Rattus norvegicus: one gene and its partners. The protein of the gene in region 5 interacts with the protein of the main gene of each other region in a pairwise test. Links are inferred from orthologs where the notes say so. Each region holds a gene or a part of one and is shown on either strand. Other genes may lie near its edges. The genes, in order: Cert1, Spg21, Snx15, Rtn3, Rtn4 and Syt16.

Evidence for each region.
Region 1: the proteins of Rtn4 (region 5) and Cert1 interact in binary tests that used the Homo sapiens proteins (3 or more experiments, as listed by UniProt). The link is inferred for Rattus norvegicus from reciprocal best matches to the Homo sapiens genes RTN4 and CERT1.
Region 2: the proteins of Rtn4 (region 5) and Spg21 interact in a two-hybrid assay, tested with the Homo sapiens proteins (2 studies listed by BioGRID and IntAct). The two-hybrid records come from large-scale screens. The link is inferred for Rattus norvegicus from reciprocal best matches to the Homo sapiens genes RTN4 and SPG21.
Region 3: the proteins of Rtn4 (region 5) and Snx15 interact in binary tests that used the Homo sapiens proteins (3 or more experiments, as listed by UniProt). The two-hybrid records come from large-scale screens. The link is inferred for Rattus norvegicus from reciprocal best matches to the Homo sapiens genes RTN4 and SNX15.
Region 4: the proteins of Rtn4 (region 5) and Rtn3 interact in binary tests that used the Homo sapiens proteins (3 or more experiments, as listed by UniProt). The link is inferred for Rattus norvegicus from reciprocal best matches to the Homo sapiens genes RTN4 and RTN3.
Region 6: the proteins of Rtn4 (region 5) and Syt16 interact in binary tests that used the Homo sapiens proteins (3 or more experiments, as listed by UniProt). The link is inferred for Rattus norvegicus from reciprocal best matches to the Homo sapiens genes RTN4 and SYT16.

The regions. Positions count from the first base shown.
Region 1 is NC_086020.1:29,616,047-29,620,001, reverse strand, and holds the start of Cert1 (ceramide transfer protein), read right to left. Parts: upstream 2,801-3,955; 5' UTR 2,377-2,800; coding exon 2,281-2,376; intron 1-2,280. UniProt on the Homo sapiens protein: Shelters ceramides and diacylglycerol lipids inside its START domain and mediates the intracellular trafficking of ceramides and diacylglycerol lipids in a non-vesicular manner.
Region 2 is NC_086026.1:74,900,136-74,904,176, reverse strand, and holds the end of Spg21 (maspardin), read right to left. Parts: intron 3,558-4,041; coding exon 3,417-3,557; intron 1,122-3,416; coding exon 1,005-1,121; 3' UTR 501-1,004; downstream 1-500. UniProt on the Homo sapiens protein: May play a role as a negative regulatory factor in CD4-dependent T-cell activation.
Region 3 is NC_086019.1:212,852,651-212,856,577, reverse strand, and holds the start of Snx15 (sorting nexin-15), read left to right. Parts: upstream 1-1,127; 5' UTR 1,128-1,212; coding exon 1,213-1,314; exon of another isoform or gene 1,315-3,927. UniProt on the Homo sapiens protein: May be involved in several stages of intracellular trafficking. Overexpression of SNX15 disrupts the normal trafficking of proteins from the plasma membrane to recycling endosomes or the TGN.
Region 4 is NC_086019.1:214,070,861-214,074,360, forward strand, and holds part of Rtn3 (reticulon-3), read right to left. Parts: intron 2,737-3,500; coding exon 628-2,736; intron 1-627. UniProt on the Homo sapiens protein: May be involved in membrane trafficking in the early secretory pathway. Inhibits BACE1 activity and amyloid precursor protein processing. May induce caspase-8 cascade and apoptosis.
Region 5 is NC_086032.1:107,692,617-107,696,116, forward strand, and holds part of Rtn4 (reticulon-4), read left to right. Parts: intron 1-1,426; coding exon 1,427-1,565; intron 1,566-1,618; exon of another isoform or gene 1,619-3,020; intron 3,021-3,500. UniProt on the Homo sapiens protein: Required to induce the formation and stabilization of endoplasmic reticulum (ER) tubules. They regulate membrane morphogenesis in the ER by promoting tubular ER production.
Region 6 is NC_086024.1:98,705,167-98,708,666, reverse strand, and holds part of Syt16 (synaptotagmin-16), read right to left. Parts: intron 2,002-3,500; coding exon 1,688-2,001; 3' UTR 1-1,687. UniProt on the Homo sapiens protein: May be involved in the trafficking and exocytosis of secretory vesicles in non-neuronal tissues. Is Ca(2+)-independent.

The DNA of each region.
Region 1 (3,955 bases), on a different chromosome or scaffold from region 5:
CTCTCACACACACACACACACACACACACACACATACACACGCTGGCCTGGAATTCAGATATCCACTTGCTTCTGCCTCCCATAAATTTCAGGACATTTTTCTTTACAACCATTGGTAAGATTTTACTACTGTTGGTTGTATATATACAGAATAGTCAAAATTCACGGGCATAGCCAAATAGAATCCTTCTTTCAAAAATGATTTTGGGAGACAAAGGCTTTACTAGATAGGTAGGTTGGTTACTCACAATCCTCCTGTTTCAGCATCCTGGGTGCTAGGATTAAGTGAACCCAACTCTGCCGTGTCCCAGGTTCAGAGTCACACTATATGTCACACCCTGCTCTGTACAACAGATAACAGAGCATATGATTTTTTTCACCATTCCAATTCTTCAACATCCAAACAGTGATGATCAGCAAGTCAAAAGTAAGGCAGGCATCAGGAGCCCACACTTTTAATCCCAGCACTAGGGAGGCAGAGAGGTAGAGAAGCAGAGAGGCAGAGAGGCAGAGAAGCAGAGGAGAGGCAGAGGGGCAGAGAGGCAGAGAGGCAGAGAGGCAGAGAGGCAGAGAGGCAGAGAGGCAGAGAGGCAGAGAGGCAGAGAGGCAGAGAGGCAGAGAGGCAGAGAGGCAGAGAGGCAGAGAAGCAGAGAGGCGAGAGGGAGAGGCAGAGGCAGAGGCAGGTGGATCTATGTAAGCTCAAGGCTAGACTGATCTACAAAGTGAGTTCTAGGACAGCTATGGCTCGACAGAGTAACCCTGTCTCAAAGAAACAGACAAGTCAAAAGTAAAGTTTGCTCCATAAAATTCTTGAACAAAATACTAATATGGCATTCTGGCTCTCATCTGAAGACAAGGAAACTATCACAATCAAGAGAGACAAAGAACCCATTTGAAAATGCAAACGTAGTACACATCATGTTCAATACAGAGTCTTAAATTATAAAGATGCATTAAATCTAAATAAACACTGGAGAGCTTCACTTTACTTAAAGCATTACATTAAAATTTCAAAAATAATCACAGTATTTAATACAACATAATTTTCTACTATGTAAATAAGTTAACACTTGGAAGCCTTGTATTCTTAAGTCTATCCCAGGCCCTTTCAGCTAAAGACTATGTAATAGCCTAAATTTCAGACAATTCCAGAAGTGATGTTCAAGAATATTAGAAGTACAATGATTTCTTAATGGCCATTAGCACATGACTTGGTATCTTATGACCAGCTTGCTAAGGGACCAGCCCCGACTCTCCCTCTGGAAACTAACTGCTTGCTCTAAGCATTTCTTAAAGTTTAACAGAAAAGGACAGGGAAGTCAAAAAGACTAACTGGGTCTCCCCACAACAAAAACGTAAAATACAACACACTGTGAAATATTAACAAGATCACTCATTTTCAACCCTATAAATGCACTCTAGGCTTTAAAAAAAAAAGAAAGAAAAGAAGAAAGAAAATTGAAGAGTTTTTAAAAGTACAGAGGGAAAATAAAACAAAACAACAAAAAATGTCTTTCTTTTCTGCACAAATACTGAATTACTAAAAAAAAAAAAAAAATGCTCCTTTTCCTGAACTAAAGGTCGGTCTTCACTCTGACACGTTTCAACTTACTATTAATATTTCTTATCCACAGCGTGCCAATTCAATAGCTCCTTTCTGAACTTGGACAAGGAGGGGCAAAGTACAGAAGTGCCGCACACACTTTCTACACCAAAGATCACTCACACCTCGAAGTTTACGATCTCAGATTTCAAGGCCAAAGCCAATCAACTGGTTTGCCTAAATTACACCCATTAGAGCTGAACACCCCTCCCCCCATTCTGGTGTGTGTGTGGGGGGGGGGCTCCAAAAGATAGTTTTAAAGGTCGATTTAACTGTCCCCGTGTCCAGTACTTCTTCAGACACCACGCCTGCCCAACCCAGATTCCTACACCCCAGACAGCTGCGGCCTTAGGTTCCAAGTTACCAGATGCACCTTGCCTTCCAAACTAGATCGTAGATTTAACACAAGCTTTCCAAGGTCCTCGACCAAAGCTGACAAGATCCAGAGATTAGGGGGTCTAGGAGTAAGGACAGTCCCAAGCACCTCCTATCCCATCCCTGGCGAGGCACTCATTCCAAAACGACCTTTCGGCCCCGCACCCCAGCACATTCCGCAGCCCCCGCCCCGGGACAGTCCGTGCCTCCCGGTCCAGCCCCACCCCAGGTCCCGAGCAGCTCCCCTCGTCTCGCGGCAGGTGAGTCCAGGCAGTGGATCCGTGGCCCCACGGGCTGCTCACCTTGCTGAGGACTCCGCAGCGCTCCACAGGCGGCCCGGACTCTGTCTCCGGATCCTCCTCCGAGCCCGACGAGTTCCAGCTCTGGTTATCCGACATGGAGACGCGACAGCCGAGCAGGAGACCGGCCCCCGCTCCGCGAGCTGCGCCAGTGCAGGCGCCTAGTCCCTGGGGTGAAGGGTCGGGGGATGGCACAGCCAAGAGTGCCCGCTCCGGGGAGTGAGGGAACAGGAAGAGGGACGAAGCGCGCCCGCTGCGCCGCCGCCGCCGCGCCTGACACCGAGCGGACCAGGGAAGGAGGACGAGCGGCGAAGAAAGCCTGCCCTTCCAGCCGTCAGCCGCCGTGGCCGTGACCCCTGCGCTGCGCCCGGCGCCGCCACCTGAACTCGGCCCCCTAGATGCCAACCTCAGTCAGGGAGGGAGGAGGGGGAGGAAGACGGGAAGAGCCAAGCCAACAGCAGAGACCCAGATCCACTCACACCTCCGCTACAGCCGCCATCTTCCTGCCGGGTCCACTATTTACCCTCCCTCCTCTCTCAGCTCCCTCCCCTCCGTCCTCCCATCCTCCCTCCACCCCGCCCCGGGCCCCTCCCGGTGGCTCTCGACGCTCCCTACCTCCGGCCCTCCCGAGTGACGACGGGTAGGGAAGGAGGCGGAGCGGGGAAAGGAGAGAGCTGAACAGGGAAACTGCTGCGCTGCATTCTGGGAAGGCCGGCGCTCTGTCCGCCGCGCAGCCTCCTGGGAGTTGTAGTCGCAATCCTAGGCAACTAGTGTGTGTGTCCTGGGCGCGCGAAAGACTGGTTGCCTAGGGGAACCTTCTGAGAGCAAGTGGGCTTCTTTTGACAGTTGTGTGCCCCTTCGGTCCAGCCTGGCTTCCGATTCTGCCTTGCGTGTTTATGACGAGCCTGCGAATCGGGACGTGAGAACCCTCAGGTGAGGATGTTGGGTGGTGAGACGCTGCTTTCCGGAAAGCCCGGGAACATCTTTGCAACTTGCCTGGTCAAAAAATGATAGAGGCTCAGTCGCTTTACTCAGGTTAGGAGTTTATGATCTCTCCAATCGCAAACTGAAGATTTTTTTTTCCTCTCTAAAACCGTCACTGCTAATTCCGAAGGACTACTGTCTGTGTCTTCGGAAATAGATTTAATACTTGAGGTTTACTGCTGTCAAAGGAAGAATTCCTTCAGGCTATTTTCGCTTTGTTAATTTATAGAATTTTTATCTTGTGGAAAATAATGTTGAGATTGTCAGAGAACAAATGACGTTTAAAGAACTTTTTAAAAGCAGATATAAGGATATTATTATATCCTGAAGTTTTCTCTTAGTTGTAAGCAAGTATCTCCCCCGGAGACCCTGAGTTAACCATCTTCTTCCTTCCCGAAAGACAGGAAAGTTTGAATAGAAACTTTCTATCATTAAGATCAAAACGCGAGTTTTACTAAATAATAAGGAATTAGACAATAGATAGCTATCAAATTACTGATAATTTACAACTTTGAATTTCCTTATTAAATTGTAAAAAAGAATTTCTGCTTGCTACCCAGATGGGAAAGTAAGAGGAAATTTTGAGTGTTTCGGGTGTTAAGGCACAATGATTATGAAACAAACAAAAAACTCTGGGAGCAATAGAAGAGTCCTACACTCTACGTAATGATAGGCAGTAACCCTGAGATGTACT
Region 2 (4,041 bases), on a different chromosome or scaffold from region 5:
ATCTCCCAGCTTCTCAAATACCCCACCTTATCTCTTGAAAGTATACACAGAAACGCTATCGAATCAAAACAGCTTCATGGTCATCCAGGGAAGGAAGGTGTGTGGAAAGTGAGGGCTATACAGAGTCTGGAAGGTTTCTATGTTGGATGAAGAGCTGGAGACAGGTTATTATTTTCTCCATTAAATACATTAAAATGTATTCTCCATATGTATAAAAACATCTCTATCAGGTGATCTTTCAGGCTAACATCTGTCATCCTAGCACTTGGGAGAGGGAGGCAGGAGGATAAGGAGCTCTAGGCTAGCCTTGGCTCATAATGAGTTCAAGGCCAGCCTATCCTAAATAAGACTCTAACAAGCCCCATTTGTGGGAAGATGAAAAGTGTGTGGCAGTCAGCAGGTAACAGCCAGCTGTGCCTCACTAGAGCAATGGAGCAGCTCACCTCACATCGCACTGGCCAGCAGCCCAGAGGGGCAGCAACACTCAACACAGGAGCCGCTGGCTGAAATTCAATTTTTATTCCAAATGTAATGTCTAGAAATACAACAGCTAATACTCAAAATGGTGTGCTCAACTGGAAACTAAAAGAGCTGATGTGTAGGGAGTGGCCAGCAAGCTGCCAGCCTCGATACTCTGGTTATGCTCAAGAAAACATAAAAATGACCGTGTTCCTCTTCCAACCCGGAGGTGCAGCAGTCTTACAAAGCAGGAAAAGAAAAATGTCACATGACCGACCCCAAGCCTTCGAGATGAACACAGTGTGGAGAAGACTTTTGGTAGCAAAATTTTCACAATTCTTAAAATGGGAGTCTTTAAAAGTTCTTCAAATTCAAAAGTTTAAAGCAAAAATAAACGTGGAGAGGGGACAGTCACACTGGCCTAGAAGGGCTGACGCCTGTCATGAGATTGACAATCAGTCCTACTTCCAGAAGAGTGAGAACCAGTGTGCCCGATGGACCTGAACTGATTGTGCAGGAGCAGGGTGGCTCGCTGTTGGGCCCTTCTATGGCTCCTCCTGGCTGAGGTCGAGCTGGCCCTTCTGCACGTCCAGCTCCTCTGCACTGACCACCGACGGGTCGATGGCAGCGTACTTGGTTCCATGGAACTGCAGCAAATGTATCTGGAAAGAGCAGATGGCTTTGGTTATTAGGGCTTTGTTTTATGGTGCTGGGATTGAAGCAAGGCTTCAGAGTTCCATACAAGGGCTCCACCACCGTGCGGCCCCCATCCCAGTGCTGAATCTTTCTGAAATCACAGAGGCCAGAGAGCAGCACTGGTGTCACTCCTTAGGGCTCCTGCCCCCTTCAGTGAGTACTGTCTTCTTGTTCACCAGAACAGGGCATCGGGTCCCTGTTACTGATGGTTGTGAGCCCCCTTAGGGCTCCTTTAAGAAGTCACAACTTACTTGGCGTGTGTATGTGTGGAAGACAGAGAGGCTGTGGAGCTAACTGTGTCCTCTGAAGTGTCCTGCACTGAACTGATTGTCGGCTTTGGTGGCAGTTCTTTCACTCGCTGAGCCATCATGGCCCTCCACCTGGCCTTGGAGACAGTCTCTCAGTGGCATCAAGCTTGGCAAGTGGGATAGGCTGGCAGGCTAGCCGGCCCCAGGGTCTGCCTGTCTGTCCCTCCCCGGGTTATGCCATCACACCCGCTTTGGATGGTGTGAACTGAGGTCAGGCCTTCCTCGTCACATAGCAAACAAACACTTTACCACTGAAGAATACCCAGCACCTTCATTTGTCAACGACTGTCACAGAGCAGAAGGTGTAGTGTGCCAGTAACAAGCATGGTGGGAGAATTTACACTAGAGAAAAGCCAGCAAAGAAACAACATGGGTCTCACTATGTAGCTCAGACTGGCCTTGAACTTAGAGCAATCCCGTGTCAGCTCAAAGTGCTATGATTGTAAGTGTTCACCACTGTGCTGACCAAAGAATCGCTGGGACCATTGCCCTCAAACTGTTGTGTCAAAGCAGCTTCTCTTGCCAAGTGTTCATGGACACTGCCCTCCACCCACATTAACTCCCATGTTTGTGCATATGTGCATTTGAGGGCGCATGTGTGTGGGCTCGTGTGTGGGCTCGTGTGTATGTGCGTGTAGAGACCCACGGTTGATCACTCTTCATCTTAATCATCGAGGAAGGCAGGTATCAATCAAATCCAGAGCTCTCTAACATGGTCAATCCTTTGTTTAAAAATGTAGAGGGCTGGAGAGATGACTCAGAGGCTAAGAGCACTGACTGCTCTTCCAGAGGTCCTGAGTTCAATTCCCAGCAACCAAAAAATGTGTAGAGGAGATTTGCCTACACACATAGGCCTATGCATCATATGCATATAATGTGCACTTGGAGGCCAGAAGAAGATGCTGGATCCCCTGGATCTAGAATTTCATTTTGAGCTGCCAAGTGGGAGCTGGGAACTGAACCTAGGTCTCTGGAAGAGCAGCCCGTGCTCTTAGCTGTTGAGCCATCTCTCCAGCCCCCTGATAGTCAGCTTGCTCTCGGGAGTCCTCGGAGTCCACCTTCCCAGCCTAGAGGCTCAGCAGGCATTTATGTGACTCTGGGCGTCTGAACTACAGTTCTCATTCTTGCACAGCCCCATCTTTGCAGCCCTTCATAAACCTTTTTTTCTTTTCTTAAAAGTTCTTTGCATGTTTTGCTCACGTGTGCCTGGTGCCTGTAGAGGTTGAAGGTGCCGGATCTCTTGGAATTGGGGTTACAGGTGGTAGTAAGCCATCATGTGCGTGTTGGGAATCAAACCTAATCCTGTGCACAGAAGCACCTGCTCTTAATCACGAAGCCATCTGGCCAGCCCTTCATACACATCTTTTTTTTTTTTTTTTCCTTCGGAGCTGGGGACCGAACCCAGGGCTTTGCGCTTCCTAGGTAAGCGCTCTACCAACCCCCTTCATACACATCTTAAACAGCCCAATGACGCTCCAACTGTGGACATTCAGTGCGGTCTTTCCAGTCTTCGCTACTGTGGCTAACGGCATGATGGGCGTCTCTGGGCATCGGTTTCTCTATGGTTAGGACTGCCTCCTTAGAATCTACTTCTGCAGTAGTGGAGAGCCTTAAAGATGAGGCTCGCTCACTGGGAAGGCGCCTGATGCTTCTCGCCAGATTATCAAGGCAGCCACTTGTCACCCCATCTAGTAATCTCTTGAGAAAATGAGGTGTTTTACTTTTGCCATTAGTGTGCAATCAGATCAAGAAGTCATTTTCTGAGACTTGGAGGGCTCCATTTGGATGTGGTGTCTTGCTCTGGCTGCATTCCCTGTCTCCAGGAGGCAAGGGCCACCATACTAAGGGCCACTTGCACCACAGTGTGTGATGCAGGGCTGATCTAGTGGAGCACCGTTAAGGAGCACTAGGGGTCTCTAAAGCTCACATGTTCTGGGCCCAGGCTGGACTTACCTGCACATAAAGATTGACCTCTGCACTCCTGCACAGATAGGGGAAATTGCCTCCTGTCTTAAGGTGAGCTCTCCGGGCATTAGGGTACAGTTTGTACATTTCTTCCTTGGCTTCCATTGACAGTGCACTCTGGTCAAACACCTTTGAAGACACACAAGGCTGAAATCTCAGGCATTCTTAGTTCAGTACAAAAGTGTCACCCCATGTTCCTGAGTGCCAGAAATTGCCTCCTACTGCTGTTCCTGGTCATGTCCAACTCCAATCAGAGAGGCTGGGCGTGCAGCTGTGTGGTACAATGCTTGCCTAGCATGTGCAAGCCCCCCCCCCCATCCCCATCTGGAAAGTAAAATTCTAATTCCAACTCCTTAAGACCTCAGCTGTAGATCTGTTGCCAAATGTCTCTTGCCTCTCATATGTAGCCAGTTAATGAAATATTAATAGTAAGTAATCACAAGAATGCCAACTTCAAAAACAATGAAATCCTGGTCTAGAGAGATGGCTTGGAGCTAAGAGCACTGGCTGCTCTTCTGGAGGACTCTGGTTAGGGTCCCAGCACCCACAGGGCAGCCCACAACTGCCTGTAACTCTAGTTCTAGGGGAATCAACGCCCTCATCTGGCCCCATG
Region 3 (3,927 bases), on a different chromosome or scaffold from region 5:
AATAGAATGAGGGTCTCTAAGCCCACACCCACAGTGACACACCTACTCCAACAGAGCCAAATCTTCTAATAGTGCTACTCTCTGGTCCAAGCATATGCAAACCATAACAAATGGTTTGGGGTCTTTTTGGTTGGTTGGTTTTTGTTTTTTCCCCTCAAAACAGAGATCCACCTAAAAACATGATTCACCACCACAGCCAGATTTCCTCAAATTTTTTAATGGTTCTTTTTTTCACTTTTTTCATTTGAAGATGGGATTTCTGGTGGTGGGGGAATGTGCTGGAATCTATGTTTAGGAATAACACTGTTGATACACCTTCCTCAGCAATTTGGCCTTGCCCTAGTGTTGGGTTTTCACCATACTTGTGTTCTGCCAGCATGCCTCTTGATCTAATCTGTTACAGAAGATACAACGACAAGTACTCCTTTCCATAGAGGAATAAACCAGGTGCATGCAGTCATGGGAGGGAAATGTGATGCTTATCTGTGACCTCAGCATTTGGGAGGTGGAAAATGAAGGATCAAAAATTCAAGGCTAGCCTCAACTACAATAGTGAGTCTGAGGCCAACCTGGGCTACATGAGATCCTCTCAATCTCCCACCTCCCCAAATCTGAAGCAGTTAAGGGGAATTCAAATAGCTGCAAGTGTTGTGATTTCAGAGACTCTGTCACTGTTCAGCATTTTCAGCATCAGAATATGTCAGTTCCCCAGCTATTCTGGCACAGAGATGCAGGGAACTTAACTTGGCTCTGCCAGGCACATTTTGAACACAATGAAAATTGCATGGGTTAGGCCCTATGCCAAGCACCTTAAATTCCAGATACTCAGGAGGCTTCGGTAGGATATTTTAAGCCCAGAAATTGATCCACACAGCAGAGACCATAGCTCAAAATAATTCATAAATAAGAGAATAAGGGAGACGTTTTGGAGGTCTGTAAGGTGAGCTTAATCACATGCCACAATGCCAGCTGGTAAATCCTCTCCTAAACAACCAATCCTTAATCTCTACCTACAACTCCGCTTTACCAATGACCTAGAACTTGTCAGACACTCCCTTAGCCACGCCCCCAAGCCAAGAACGGCTGTGTCACTTGTGACTGGTCCCTAGGCCTGAAGAAGGGCGCAGGCCGGATCCTGGCGGTGGCAGCAGGCTCAACACGCGGAGCGGGGGCGACGTGCAGTAGGAGGAGCCGGCGGCCAGCTCCGCTGTCATGTCGCGCCGGGCGAAGAAGGATGACTTCCTGCGACACTACACAGTTTCGGACCCCAGGACCCACCCCAAGGGTTACACCGAGTACAAAGTAACTGCTCAGGTGAGGTGGGACCCAGCGGGGAACATTACCCTTTTAAGCAGTTCGGGACCCGTGCTGTACCTTAAAGGTAAGGAGCTCCGGGGAGGTCGCGGTTTGGCCTACACAAATGGATTTCCCCTTTAAGAGGAGTCTGAGGCAGAAGACTTAAGGAGCCTCACCGCCTGGGGCGGGGCTAAGGGTCATTTTTAAACTCCGGAGCAGTGCTCTGCGCCCAGCCAGGCACCCCCCCCCCCCCCCGCCCTGTTGATGATGGTGTCTAGATGCGGTCTACGAATTTCTCAAAGAAAAAAAATTCCGGATTAACTCAATATTCCTCTTTAATCTCTTAGAGTAACTTTTGGTAATTTTTCCTGCTTGATACGTAAACACACACACACACACACCCGCCTTTTTATTTATTTATTTTTTTCTTTTTCTGAGACAACCCTGGCTGTCCTGAACTCACTATGTAAACTAGACTGGTCCTGAAGTCACCGAGACCCGCCTGCAACTGCTGCCTGAGTGCTGGGATTAAAGGCTTGCACCATCATGTCCGACTAAAAAAGCTCTTTAAAAAATTTATATATAGGGGTTGGGGATTTAGCTCAGTGGTATAGCAAGCGCAAGGCCTGGGTTCGGTCCCCAGCTCCGAAAAAAAGAAAAGAAAAAATATATATATATATATATAATGTATTTTATACATTTATTATATATACAGTATACAATATTTGTGTGGTTTTAAAAACGTAATTCAAAAAGACTGCTCTTCACAGATAAGGAAGTCAAGGTGGAATTGGTGTCTAACAATAAAACTTAAAATGAGCTTGTAGAAACATCAGCAGGAAAGAATGCTTTTAGAATTTTACCCATGGGTGCGTAACTATGGAGGGTCTACAGCAGAAGAAATCGGGTTGCTGCCTGAAGGCTGACTATACGTTTTCTTATACTTAAATTTTTTTCAACTAGGCAACTGTTTGATTAGTGCTCTTGTCAACTGTTAAAAGGAAGCAAACACGTAAAAATCGCTCCCAAATCAATGTAAGCCAGAATTTTAGATACCTCAAGAGTGTGGGTATGCCCAATGCCTTGCTTTTTTCCAATGCCAAAAAAATACAAATATAGTAATTGTCTCTAGGAAGATGGCCAGAGGGTAGAAAGGATGAAAAAACATTCATAACCCTTTCTTATATGTCTTCCTGTGAGCATTTTAGACCTAGTCACATGCCTTACACATGCTTACAGTTTTTCCTTTTTTTCAGTGCTAGGGTTGAACTCAGGGCCTCCCACATACTAGAAGTGCTTCTTTCTTTTCTTCTTCTTCTTCTTCTTCTTCTTCTTCTTCTTCTTCTTCTTCTTCTTCTTCTTCTTCTTCTTCTTCTTCTTCTTCTTCTCTTCCTCCTCTTCCTCCTCCTCTTCTTCTTCCTCCTCCTCCTCCTCCTCTTTTTCTTCTCTCTCTCTCTCTCTCTCTCTCTCTCTCTCTCTCTTTCTCTCTCTTTCTCTCTCTCTCTCACCTGACACAGCATCCAATGGGATGATCCTTTTACTTTATAGATTTATTTACTTAATTTTGTTTTCTTTTTTTCCGAGACATGGTTTTTCTGTTAGCCCTGGTTGTCCTGGAACTTGTGCTATAGATCAAACTCGAACTCACAGAGCTCCACCTGCCTCTACCTCCCCAGTGCAGCCTCCCTAGGGATTAAAAGTGTGTGCCACCCCACCTGGCTTATTTACTTAAAAATTAAAATGTAGTTGGTTTAAAAAAAAAAAAAAACAGGGGTTGGGGATTTAGCTCAGTGGTAGAGCACTTGCCTAGCATGCGCAAGGCCCTGGGTTCGGTCCCCAGCTCCGAAAAAAAAAAAAAAAGAAAAACAAAACAAAACAAAACAAGGGGTTGGGAATTTAGCTCAGTGGTAGAGCGCTTGCCTAGCAAGTGCAAGCCCTGGGTTCGGTCCCCAGCTCTGAAAAAAAGAAAAGAAAAAACAACAACAACAACAAAAACAAAACAAAGAGGGGTTGGGGATTTAGCTCAGTGGTAGAGCGCTTGCCTAGGAAGCGCAAGGCCCTGGGTTCAGTCCCCAGCTCCGAAAAAAAAGAACCAAAAAAAAAAAAAAAAAACCAAACATGCATGTTTTATCTGCATGTATCAGTGCGCTATCCATGCAATACCCAAGGAGGCCAGCAGAGGGCGGTAGATCCCTATGGATTGGAATTATAGGCCACTGTGTGCCTTCCTGTTGGTGCTGGGAATAGAACTTCTGTCCTCTAGAAAGCAGCCAGTGTTCTTAACCTCTGAGTCATCAATCTAGTCCAGATTTATTTACTTTTATTTTAATGAATGTTTTGTCTGTACTTATGTATATGCACCAATACAAGCCTCATAGGCTCGGAGGTTAGAAAAACATTGAATTGCCTGGGATTGGACTTTTTTAGAAATTATTTCTATCTGCCATCTGCATGCCGAGAACCAAACCTGGGTCCTCAGCCACAGCAGTGAGTGCTTCTAACTGCTGAATCATCACTGTAGTGCCCCCCCCCCATTTGTTTGTGTGTATCACAACTGTGCTTGTATGCCTGTGGAGGTCAGAGGAAGGTACAACAGATCTGATGCCCTGCAGCTGGAATTACAAAAGGTTG
Region 4 (3,500 bases), on a different chromosome or scaffold from region 5:
AAGATAAACAGCATTCAAAACCATTTTACTGCAAGCTATCTGCTAGGAAAGAGACCATTCCAAATAAAAAAGATTCTGGTACTGTTGAATGTCCTGTTGTCCGCAGACTGTTCAGTAGGTCTGAAGTATGAGAATGAATGAGTCTCTCTGAAGTATTACTCCAAAAGAGCACTGTCATAATGATCACCTACTTTCAAAGCATAAACCCTCTGTGGAATACAGCAAATTAATTAAAAGTTACATTTACTGAGTTTCCCGGCAGGAATTCTTTTATCTTTGATAACTAATTAAAATTTACAAGTCCCCTATTTAAAAAACTGAACTTTGAAAATAAGTAAGAATACAGACTGGGCCTGTAATCTCAGCACTTCAGAGGCTGAAGCAGGAGTACTATGAGCTCAACAATAGCCTGGGCAAGATAGAGAGTTCCAGGCCAGCTTGAGGCAAACTTATCTCAAAACAAACAGCAGCAAAATCACAAAAATGGTAAATAAGCATGTGGTGATATTCTTAAAAGGCAATAGCCATACTCAGACTACTTATAAAGAAAGGACTTCAAAATAGAACAGAAACTTTATAATCACAGCAGTATTAGCCACATGCAGAATTTCTGTTGTAAATGGTTACCTGGGAAATCACTGAGAAGTCTTGCTAGAACATGCTTGTTAACTGTTTCAGTCTTGGTAAGGCTGGAAATAGAATCTATTCTAGTGTCTTTGATGATAGTAGGCTTTTTGGGAATCCCAAGATCAGATCCAGTTGTGATATCTGTGTGTTCTAGGATGTCAGATGAATTCTGTGGCCCAGACTGTGGATCAAAGGTTCGCTTGAGTTTTCCTCCAGGAGACATTCTTTCAGCCTGCACCTGCTTAGCCCCTAATTCTTTAATGGCTCTAATGGTGAGCTGCTCCTGCTCTAAGTCGGAAGACACCTTGGGGGCACCTCCATTTGTTTCTCTGCTGTGTTCACTGTATTTGCTTTTAGTATTTTTGGTTTCAGAACTACTTAGCTTATTTTCATGCAAGAGTTCCACAGGCAAAGTGTTTTTAACGTTTGCTATCTTCTCTAACACTGCTTCCAAAACATCACCTTTCTCTTTATCCACTGTCCCCTTCTCCTCAGTTCCTGTGAGGGCAGCCATCAAGTCCTCTGGAGAGGAACCATCTGTATCTTCAACATTTTTTCCAAGCAAAGATTCTGACTTGGCAGAAGCTGGCACAGTTAGTGAGAATCCAGTCTCACTAAGAACACTTGGAGGTGCTGCTGAGCAAACTCTGGTTGTGTCAGTCATAGCAAGATTTTCAGGTATGACTTCATTCAGCATATTAGGTACTTGTGGAGACATCTGACCTTCCAGACTCCTCTGAGTAGGAGTTTCTGCATGGGCCTGCTGCTGCTCAGAGTTTTCATACATTTCACTCCTCACAGTTTCATGACTGGTAGTCTCTTTGTTTTCCCTTTCACTTGTTTTTACAGCAGCACTTGGAAGGGAGTCAGATTTTTCTGGCAAAACTTTGTTGTTCTTAACTGAGGGATTTTCTGTGGTGTCCTCTATTACTGTGTCATCAGATTCCCCAGAACTATCAACCTCTGTGACTTCCCCTAGCACAGAGTTAGGCCAGGTACCCCTCAGGTCAGGTAAAGTCACTTCCACTGTGGCTGCTCCAGAGCCTGAGATAGGCTGAGAACTGTCTGGTACACCTTTGCCACCAGCTTCTTTTGTGGAGCTGAGGTAGCCTTTTACAGGTTTTCCTTCTGTAAATGTTTCTGTCCAGTCACCTGTGGATCTAGTAATGGGAGTGCTCCCATTAAAAGAACATACAGGCATTTTCTGTTGAGGGCTTGTTTTAAGATTTATAACTGGAATTTCTGAGCGATGTTCACTCCTGTCTAGTCCTGTACTTTCTGTGGTGCAAGGTGATTTGTCCGCCTGTTGTTTTGCTTGGGGATCTAAGTCCCAAGTCAGTATTTCATTAGTAAAGTTATGCATATCATTCACACATCTAGACACTTCTTCCAGTGCTGCTGTAGTGTGTGAGAATTGTCTACCGAGCAGTGCAGAGGATGGGTAACGCCCTGCCTCTTTATTTCTCAGTGGAAACACTTTGTCATTCATTTCCAATAAATCTGCTGGGGATTCTCTGTCACCGTGAGCTGCCCAGCCACCCAAATCATCTGTGCTTTCCTTATACAAATCTTTAAATTCTCTGTCAAATGTTGCTTTGTCAATAATTACTTCAAATGGTGACTCAGGAGAATCTTTTTCTACACTGGCTACTGCAGGTTCAGATGGAGACAAGGAATGTGTACAAATGTGTTCTGCCTTACGCTGCCCAAGATCCAGTGCACTTCTGTCCTCTCCACTTGGAACTTCACTTGGGTTCTTGGGTTCTTGGTTTTTAACTACCCACTCTTCTGTTGGATCAGTTTCCTTTGAAAGAAAAGTAGGTTGTTCTGGGAAACTGTCTGGAATAGAAGGGTGGCTGCAAGGAATGTCAGCTGCAAGAGAAACCGGAGTGTCTACTCTGTCCTTGTTGGTCCCCTGAGGTGAGTCCAGAGTTTTCTTATCTAGAAGAACCAAGGGATCTTTTCCGTCTTTAGCTACAAGATGGCTGCCTAATGTTTCACTTCCAAGTGGTGTTGTAGGGTCAGGGTTATATATTTCAGAAGATGAAAGAAAGGAGGAAGTCATAATTTTTGATGGTGGCTCATCAGAGCAAAGAGAGCTCAATCCCACTATGGTCAGAATTTGAAAGGAAAAAGATCATTTACCAGGTGCAAGTACACACATTAGCTAGTCAGGCCAAGCAGCATGCTTTTTATTTTTAAAAATCATATGAACACACGCGCGCGCACACATAACAGCATGTATATAAACAGATGCATAAACACACAAGTATATAACAGAGCAAAGATCAATGGTTGTCTTACAAAACATGCATAAAACTGCCAACAATAAAACAAAAGCCAGTATCATGCTATAAATTGTGAATGACAAAACATATTCAGGACAAATATTTTTTAATTGGTTTACTTTTCCCTCCCTGCATAATAAAGGGGTGATGATACTGAGAGATTTGGGGAGTTTTTCTTTTCTTTTGAGGGGGTTCTTATTCAATAGGAGCAATGTAATCTATACAAAACAGCTTGCTTATGCTTATGACATGCTGCTATGCCTTCCTTTGTAAGCTGAACAATTCAGAACATACTGGCTCTATAGATCCCTTGTCATAGTCCTCATAACCTGAGAAAGAAAAGTAAGCAGCTTGACTCAAGTTGTTCTTGATTTAGAAAGGCAGCAGATGTTTTTTTGATTCAACAAAGAGATGCAAATTGCCTGATGTTCTGGAGTATTGAAAAGCTCAGCCTGCTATCGAATCTCCTGGCTACTGGCCATTTTAACCCAATCACACAGTGCATCACAGTAAGAGTCTCCTTGAGCTTCCGAGGTGGCTCAGGACTTGACTTCTGAACAATGTCAGACCTGTTAAGGCTATGGG
Region 5 (3,500 bases):
CCAGTATCTTACACTATTGAAAAGAAATGTTCTAAATAGTTTTTGCTTAAGTGGGAAAACTATTCTGTCTGTATTCAATATAATAATGTAGAAAAAAACATTGTTTGGGAGTATAAAAGAGTGGTAGATTATAGTGGGAACTTAGGATTCATAGCTGATGAGTCTTCATGTCTGGGTGGGGTCTGAGGTGAGGCTAGTTCATGTATAAGTTGTCACCAGAGGAAGAAGTGACCTATGCTTTAGGAAAATAGCATGATGACCAAGGCATTAAGGTTAAAACATGATGCATGACTTATTTCCAGCTTTAATATAGGGAGCAGTGGAAAGGTGAGCAAAATTAGATGTGCTCTCTGTTGGAATCAGAGTAACACAGTGCTTGAACTGGGCATGATTCTTCATGGAGTCGGAAACTTGACCCAGAGAATTGAAATGCTGTTTTGAAAGATTATTTAGCTAGAAAATAGCCATCTTCTAATACCCACCTGAGCTCAACCCAGACTCTGCTATTTTAGGAAGCTCAGATAGGCTAATCTGGTGTTGATGAAGGGAATAGATTAGCTAGATTAGAAACAGGCTTGCACACTGATAAGAGTATCTCAGTGTGCAAATAATAATAGAGACTTAACAACAGTGATTGAAGACACACTTGGGCATACTGCAAAGGTAGGAGTATGAGACAGGGTTTTCTCCAAGGACACAGTGTGAGAAAATAGGATTAGTTTAGGCATGGTAATAATCAAATGATCATCCCTGAATTATTATCTTCTTAAATTTAACACTTCCTGCACACTACAGTGTTTATTTTCATGAGAACATGAAAATAGAGAGTAAATACCCTTATTGGTATTGGTACTATACTTTTAGCAGCTATTTTACATGCTAGTATTTAACATTTCTGACTTTTTCCATAAAGAGAATATGGAAATGAGTAGGAATTTTGGTAGCAGAACCTAATTAAGACTCAGAAAATAATTTTCTGAGAGATTTTTAGACAGAGTGGTTGTTAAACATTTTACTCATTAAATCCTCATTACATCCATTTTAAATGAGGAAGCAACTTTAGAAGATTAAGTTTGCAAATTTAGATTACTAAGAAAATGATAGCAGTTAAGATTTAAAATGCCTTTAAAGCACACTTCTTAGCTTGGGAATTTTGGCTTTGTTTTATTTTGTTTGAGATATTTCTGTAGCGCAGGTTGGTTTTGAGCTAGTAACGATCCTTTTGTCTTAGCCTCTTAAGTGCTGGGATTATAAGCATGAGCCAGCAAGCACAGCCAGTGTACTTTGGACTTTTATAATTACAGTAGGCCTTTTATAGTAGATTGTTATAGAATATTAATCTCCTTTTATTGATATGCAATTGCTGATTAACATGTGGGAATCAGTGTCAGTTGTGGTCTGTTTTTTTTTTTTTTTTTTTTTTTAGGGCATATTTAGAATCTGAAGTTGCTATATCAGAGGAATTGGTTCAGAAATACAGTAATTCTGCTCTTGGTCATGTGAACAGCACAATAAAAGAACTGAGGCGGCTTTTCTTAGTTGATGATTTAGTTGATTCCCTGAAGGTAAGTTTATTTTACCTTTCATATATATATATATATATATATATATATATATATATATATATACACACACACACACACACACACACACACACATATCAGAAAGATTAGCAATATGATTGCCTGACATTTTCTTACTTGGATATTAGAGTGTTGCTCTTTGTAGAATTGGTGGTTGTAGGCACCCAAGAGATCTCCTTAACCTAACCTGCGGTAAATGTGCTTACTAGTGTTTGAATACCTTGAGTTCAAAACCTACTCATAGTAAGCATTCAGTTGTTTTTTTGTTAGGTGTCTGAGTACATGGAAATTATTTTCTTTAGATCAAGAGTAGGGAACTAGCAGTGAAGGAGGCAAGGCACAGTTCAAGCAGTGAAGGTTTTTCAGTTTGCTGTGTCCACCAACAGTGAATCTAACCCATGGAGGCCCAACAGAGTGCTGAGGTGTAAGCTTCTGCCAAATGAGTGTAACTGTGGTGTGACACTGGAGTCTGCTTGGCGTGGTCTTCACAGGGCAGAGTGTTGTGCTGGTTTGCCGTCTGCTGTTCCTTCTTCAGCTCTGCCACGCCCTGGATCTCAGAGGACTCTTAGATGAGAGTAGCTTCCTGCTTTCAGTCTCTGCTATGGAGATGTCCTGTCTGCAGAATCCTCAGCCCCTCCCTTGTGGTTATGTCACCTAGAGGGGGTTGGGTCCTGGACTCTTGTCCACCTTCTCTCTGACCTAGTCTTTGGCTCTGTCTACCCTGCCCTCAGTTACTGTCCTAAGCTTGCCTGGGTGTGGGTCTCTGGGTTCCCAGCTGAATAGAGGGAAGCTAGTCCTTTCCTTGACAAAGGGGAAAGTTCATACTTCTCCTTCACTCTCTCCCCCAGCCATTGTCAGGGAGACCATTCATGTTTCTAAGTGCATTTACTTATTTTCTATTGAAACCAGTTGGTAGGGAAAGTTCACAGCCTGGGATCTAAGAGTGGTGGCTTCCATTTATAGCAATAAATAAACAAAAAATTATATGAGAGACCCTTGGGGGCATTAACGGCAAAATGTTTATTATGTGGTTTTGTGGAAATTTTCCAATTCTAGCTTTAGTTAATGGAGGCGCTTACAAGCTTTACTCTTTAGCACTGTTGTTTCATATACCTAAATAATCACCATAGGGGGTGGGAAGATGGCTCAGTGGTTAAAAGGTCTTGCAGAGGATCTGAGTTCAATTCCCAGGACCCCTGTGACAGCTAACAACTGTATAACTCCAGTTCCCCGGGATCTGAACCCCTCTATGGGCACTAAGCATACACAGAAGCAAAATACTCATGCCCATAATTTCAGGTCACCATAGATGCGGTACGTGGTACTGTGTTGTCACCTCCTAAGTAGGCCACAGCAGTTGCCAGACACAGCAGCTTTGCATTAGAAGGTCTAGCAGTGCAGGAGTTCTCTTTGGAAAGGAGGAAAGGGATGTATTACCTGCAGGTGTGAAGGAAAGCAGGGAGTTAAAGTGCACAGAATGGTCGTTGGGTACACTCCATTTGCACCATGAAGCGTAAGCAGAAGACAGAAAAGAACCTATCTGTATAATAAATATATTATCGTCAATGTTTTATATAGAACTCTGCCCCTCAAAGTATCCAGCATTTTTGTCATTACCGAAAGTACTGACTATGAGTATTGAGTACAATTTAGACCAACTTTGTGCTTCTCTTGAACATGTCAGTGAGCTGTGTGATATCATAAGCTTTAGAAGTGAAAGAAAACTTTATAATCTTGTCAAACTATTCATGAGTGTACATGAGTATATGTGTTATGTATATTATATACTATATAACAAAGCATACTTATTATAATTATTATAATCTCTGGTCCCTAGAAGAAACAATGAAACCTGTATTGCTGTACTTGGACACCAGGCAACTTAGTAAACTTTCTGTGCTTCAGTTTCTATGTGCT
Region 6 (3,500 bases), on a different chromosome or scaffold from region 5:
GAGGTCTTCCCAAGGAAAGTGGGAGAAACCCACCCAATGGGCCTGAAAAGACCTTGTGATACTAGTTTATTCTGCAAATTCTTACCCCTCCATATAAAACTGTTTTCTTCCCAAACTCTGATCCCTGTGATCTAGTCGAGTTATCCTGGGCCCTTGTCTGGTCTTGTCGGGATAACCATTATGAAGTGTAAGGAATAAATACGTTCTTCAAGTACTGCAGCCTACGCTTACAATCTGTCAAAATGTAGCGCTGTGGGGGAAGCTATGTGGCTCTGACAGCATGCATCCGTCCGTCACTAGCTAGCACTCTTCCCAAAGACAGGACAGAAGTCAACAAGAAAATAGAAAAATTTAAAAGGAAATGGCTGGGACCTTGCTCGGAGAAACTGTAATGGTGAGCACAGGGTTAAGGGTGGATTCCTTCCCACCTCATCACTTCCAGGTAAAAGACACCGAGATTCAGATCTCAGAGCTGGGAATAAAGACAATTAAAGTGGCTGCATAACTGTGTGCGAGCCACTCATAAGCAAAGCCTCATGCCCAAACCCATGCTAGGCCGGTGCTGGGGACTAAACGATGTGCCCACAGACAAGAATTCACTCATACATTTTGTTGCACATGTAAGAAATATCAGTGCTGGGTCCTTTAAATGACCCAAGGATTCAGTGTTACTCCACACCAAATGACAATATTCCTTCACTCAGAAGATTTCACATGTTCACTCGCGAAAGTCAATCAAATTAGTATTTATTGAGATCCACTGTATGCATCTTTCTATGTTCTATTAGTAAGGTACATAGCATAAAGACAAATGTGGTTGGCATGCAGAAGTACATTAAAAAAATACATGTGAGAGTTAGTACAATTATCTATAGAAAAGGTCTAATCCAAATGAATGACAGGTTCTGAAACATCAAGAAAGCCAAGGCTTAAATTATCTCCTAGGTTTTCCTCTTCTTCTCTGGGTACCAATTTGATAAGAAAGCACAAAAATCCTTGACTTTGGAAATCTTAAATATTCAAAAAGAGACAGGTCAGATAACAGTCATTTTTTTTAACTGCTTTAGAGCTTTAAGATGATTTGTCTACCCCAATTCTTTTAGAAATCGTGATATCTAATTGAGATAAAAAGAGACATTTCATGAATACAAATTTATTTTACACCACAAATTTATAGCAATTACCTTTTAAATAAACAGGGCTTTTTTTTTCCATAAAGAGAATAGGGGTGGCAGAGGACTGTGGTGGGTTACGTCCTTCCGTAACGCTCAGCATCTGATTCATTTCTGTTTTGGAATTTTGAACACTGAGAAGAGTCTGATTCATACACCTCAGTGATGGAAAACAGTAATGTTTACAGCTCCTTTGAAATCTCAGGCTATTCTCCCAGCAAAAAGAGACAGCAGGAGGAAGCTGAACCACATAGTACGAACCAAAACACAATCATCCATTAGCACAAGTTGTGATATAGCCAGTGGTCTCAACTAGATACCATTGCCCATACTGTGTATGTAGGTTTCCTTTCACGACAACATTTAAACTCAGATCGAACCTTTGAGATGGTTCCACACCACGGAATGACCCAAGATTAGTAAAATTCTCCATTTGAAAGCTCCTCCACCTGCCATGATCTGACTTGGTGTTAGGTAAGCAAGGCTGACGTAGCACGGGAACGCTGTTGATAAACCTAGGATTCCAACAGCGTATGCCACCTGCAGATCTGCTGGCTTTTGCTGTCCTTCATTTCGTCCCAGTGCTCCTGCTCCTCCTCCCCACTGCTGTTCTGGCCCAGAGCAATCCAGCCAATCATCTCTTTACGCTTCATTGTGCGTCTGCTATAAATGGAAATCATCAAGGTAACATCCGAGAGCTGGAAGAGGGCCACCTGGAAGACGAAGGTCTCTTTATAGACGGGGTTGGGCTGGCCACGCCGAATGGACGTCTTGCAGCGGGACATCTCTTGACCCACACAGTTGAGGAGGAAGAGTTTTCCATATGTATCTACAGGAAAAGCAGACAAGAGAAGGATGAGAAACTATCAGGGCTTTGCAATAAGTTGTAATCTTTACATTGACTTCAAATTTCTCCACTGGTCTTTGCTGCTGAACCACCACATCTCACATAGGTTATTAAGGAAAATTCACTGTCTTACGTCTGTTGTTTCGTACAGCTCACCGTCTGGCACACTGCTGAAGTTCATTAGAACCTCTCTTTGTACTGAGTATGCATGGAGTTGCCCAGGCACATGTGCCATAAGAGCCGTGTGAACTCAGAGAAAGTCATGATTTGTGTATCGGGTATGCATTCTTTTCTCCATGTGTGGGACATTCTTCTACAGTCAAATTATTGTTTTATGTCTTGGCTGAAGTGTATCTTCTTTTCTTAGTCACCATGTAGTCTACCCATTCTCCAGACCATCTCATGTTGGAACTCTGGCCACAAGCTTCATGCACTCTGCCAGTATCCTGATATCCCAGAGGCCAAGCACCTCCCCTAACGTCTCCCATCACAGTTGGATTTGTACAATACTTTCTCCAGAATCCCTGCTGACTCCATCTCCACTAGCACCTTGTTTGACCCTACCCCAGCATGGGTCATCACTGTGCGGTTTCTTGTCTGCAAGCTGCCAGTCCCTCAAAGGAAAAGAGAAGGAAGGGTTGCCTCACTTGGCCCAGAACCCCCATGCCTGGCCTAGTACCTGATGGGGGTGGGGAGAAGGCTAGACTTTCAACAACAATTTTATGATGAATATTCATCACCAGACAGAGAGTTAAACCTTTTTTTTTCTTTTGATCTTCTCTTATTTTCAAACAAGAAACTCAAGCAAAACCACCCATTTTAAGACCCCTAAACTAAAATACTATGAAGTACTGACTAATTTCTACTTTTAGTTGCCAAAAGGAAAAGAAAGCATCCAAATTTTATTAACTTCATCTCCTTTGGCTAAAATTTCTGAATAACTCGTTGCAAAGAAAATTATCCCCACAAATATATGTTATTAAAATCACTTCATTGATAATTTTTGGACTTATAACAGAAAGCTTTGCTTCTAACTTAGATGCATGATACTGTTAAAAAAAAATTGAATCAAATGTTTAGGTGTTGTCTAAGTTGCCTCAGTCTGTATTCTGTGTTCAGTGCAGGCAGAAGCCTTGTGCTTGCAGCTCGCTTCCCCAGCTAACCAGCAGTCAAACTTTTCAAAAGCGTAAACCCAGATCTCTGTAATTTCCTCTCAGAGCATTGTGAGGTAGGAAGCGAATTACAACCTAGGGCTCTCTTTGTACGTTGATCTTTTTTCTATTCCGGGTTGATGTGTTATTTTATGCACTTATCTGCTGAGAAACACAAGGTGTGAGATTGCACTTCAGGTGTGAAAACACTTCTCTGTCTCAGAAACAGGGCTCTCCACTCCTCAAACTGTTCCAGGGAAAAGCTGTCAACAGACCCACAATGGGAATGAGCCTGCGAGTCTGCGAGTCTGCAGCTGTACAGCAACAACC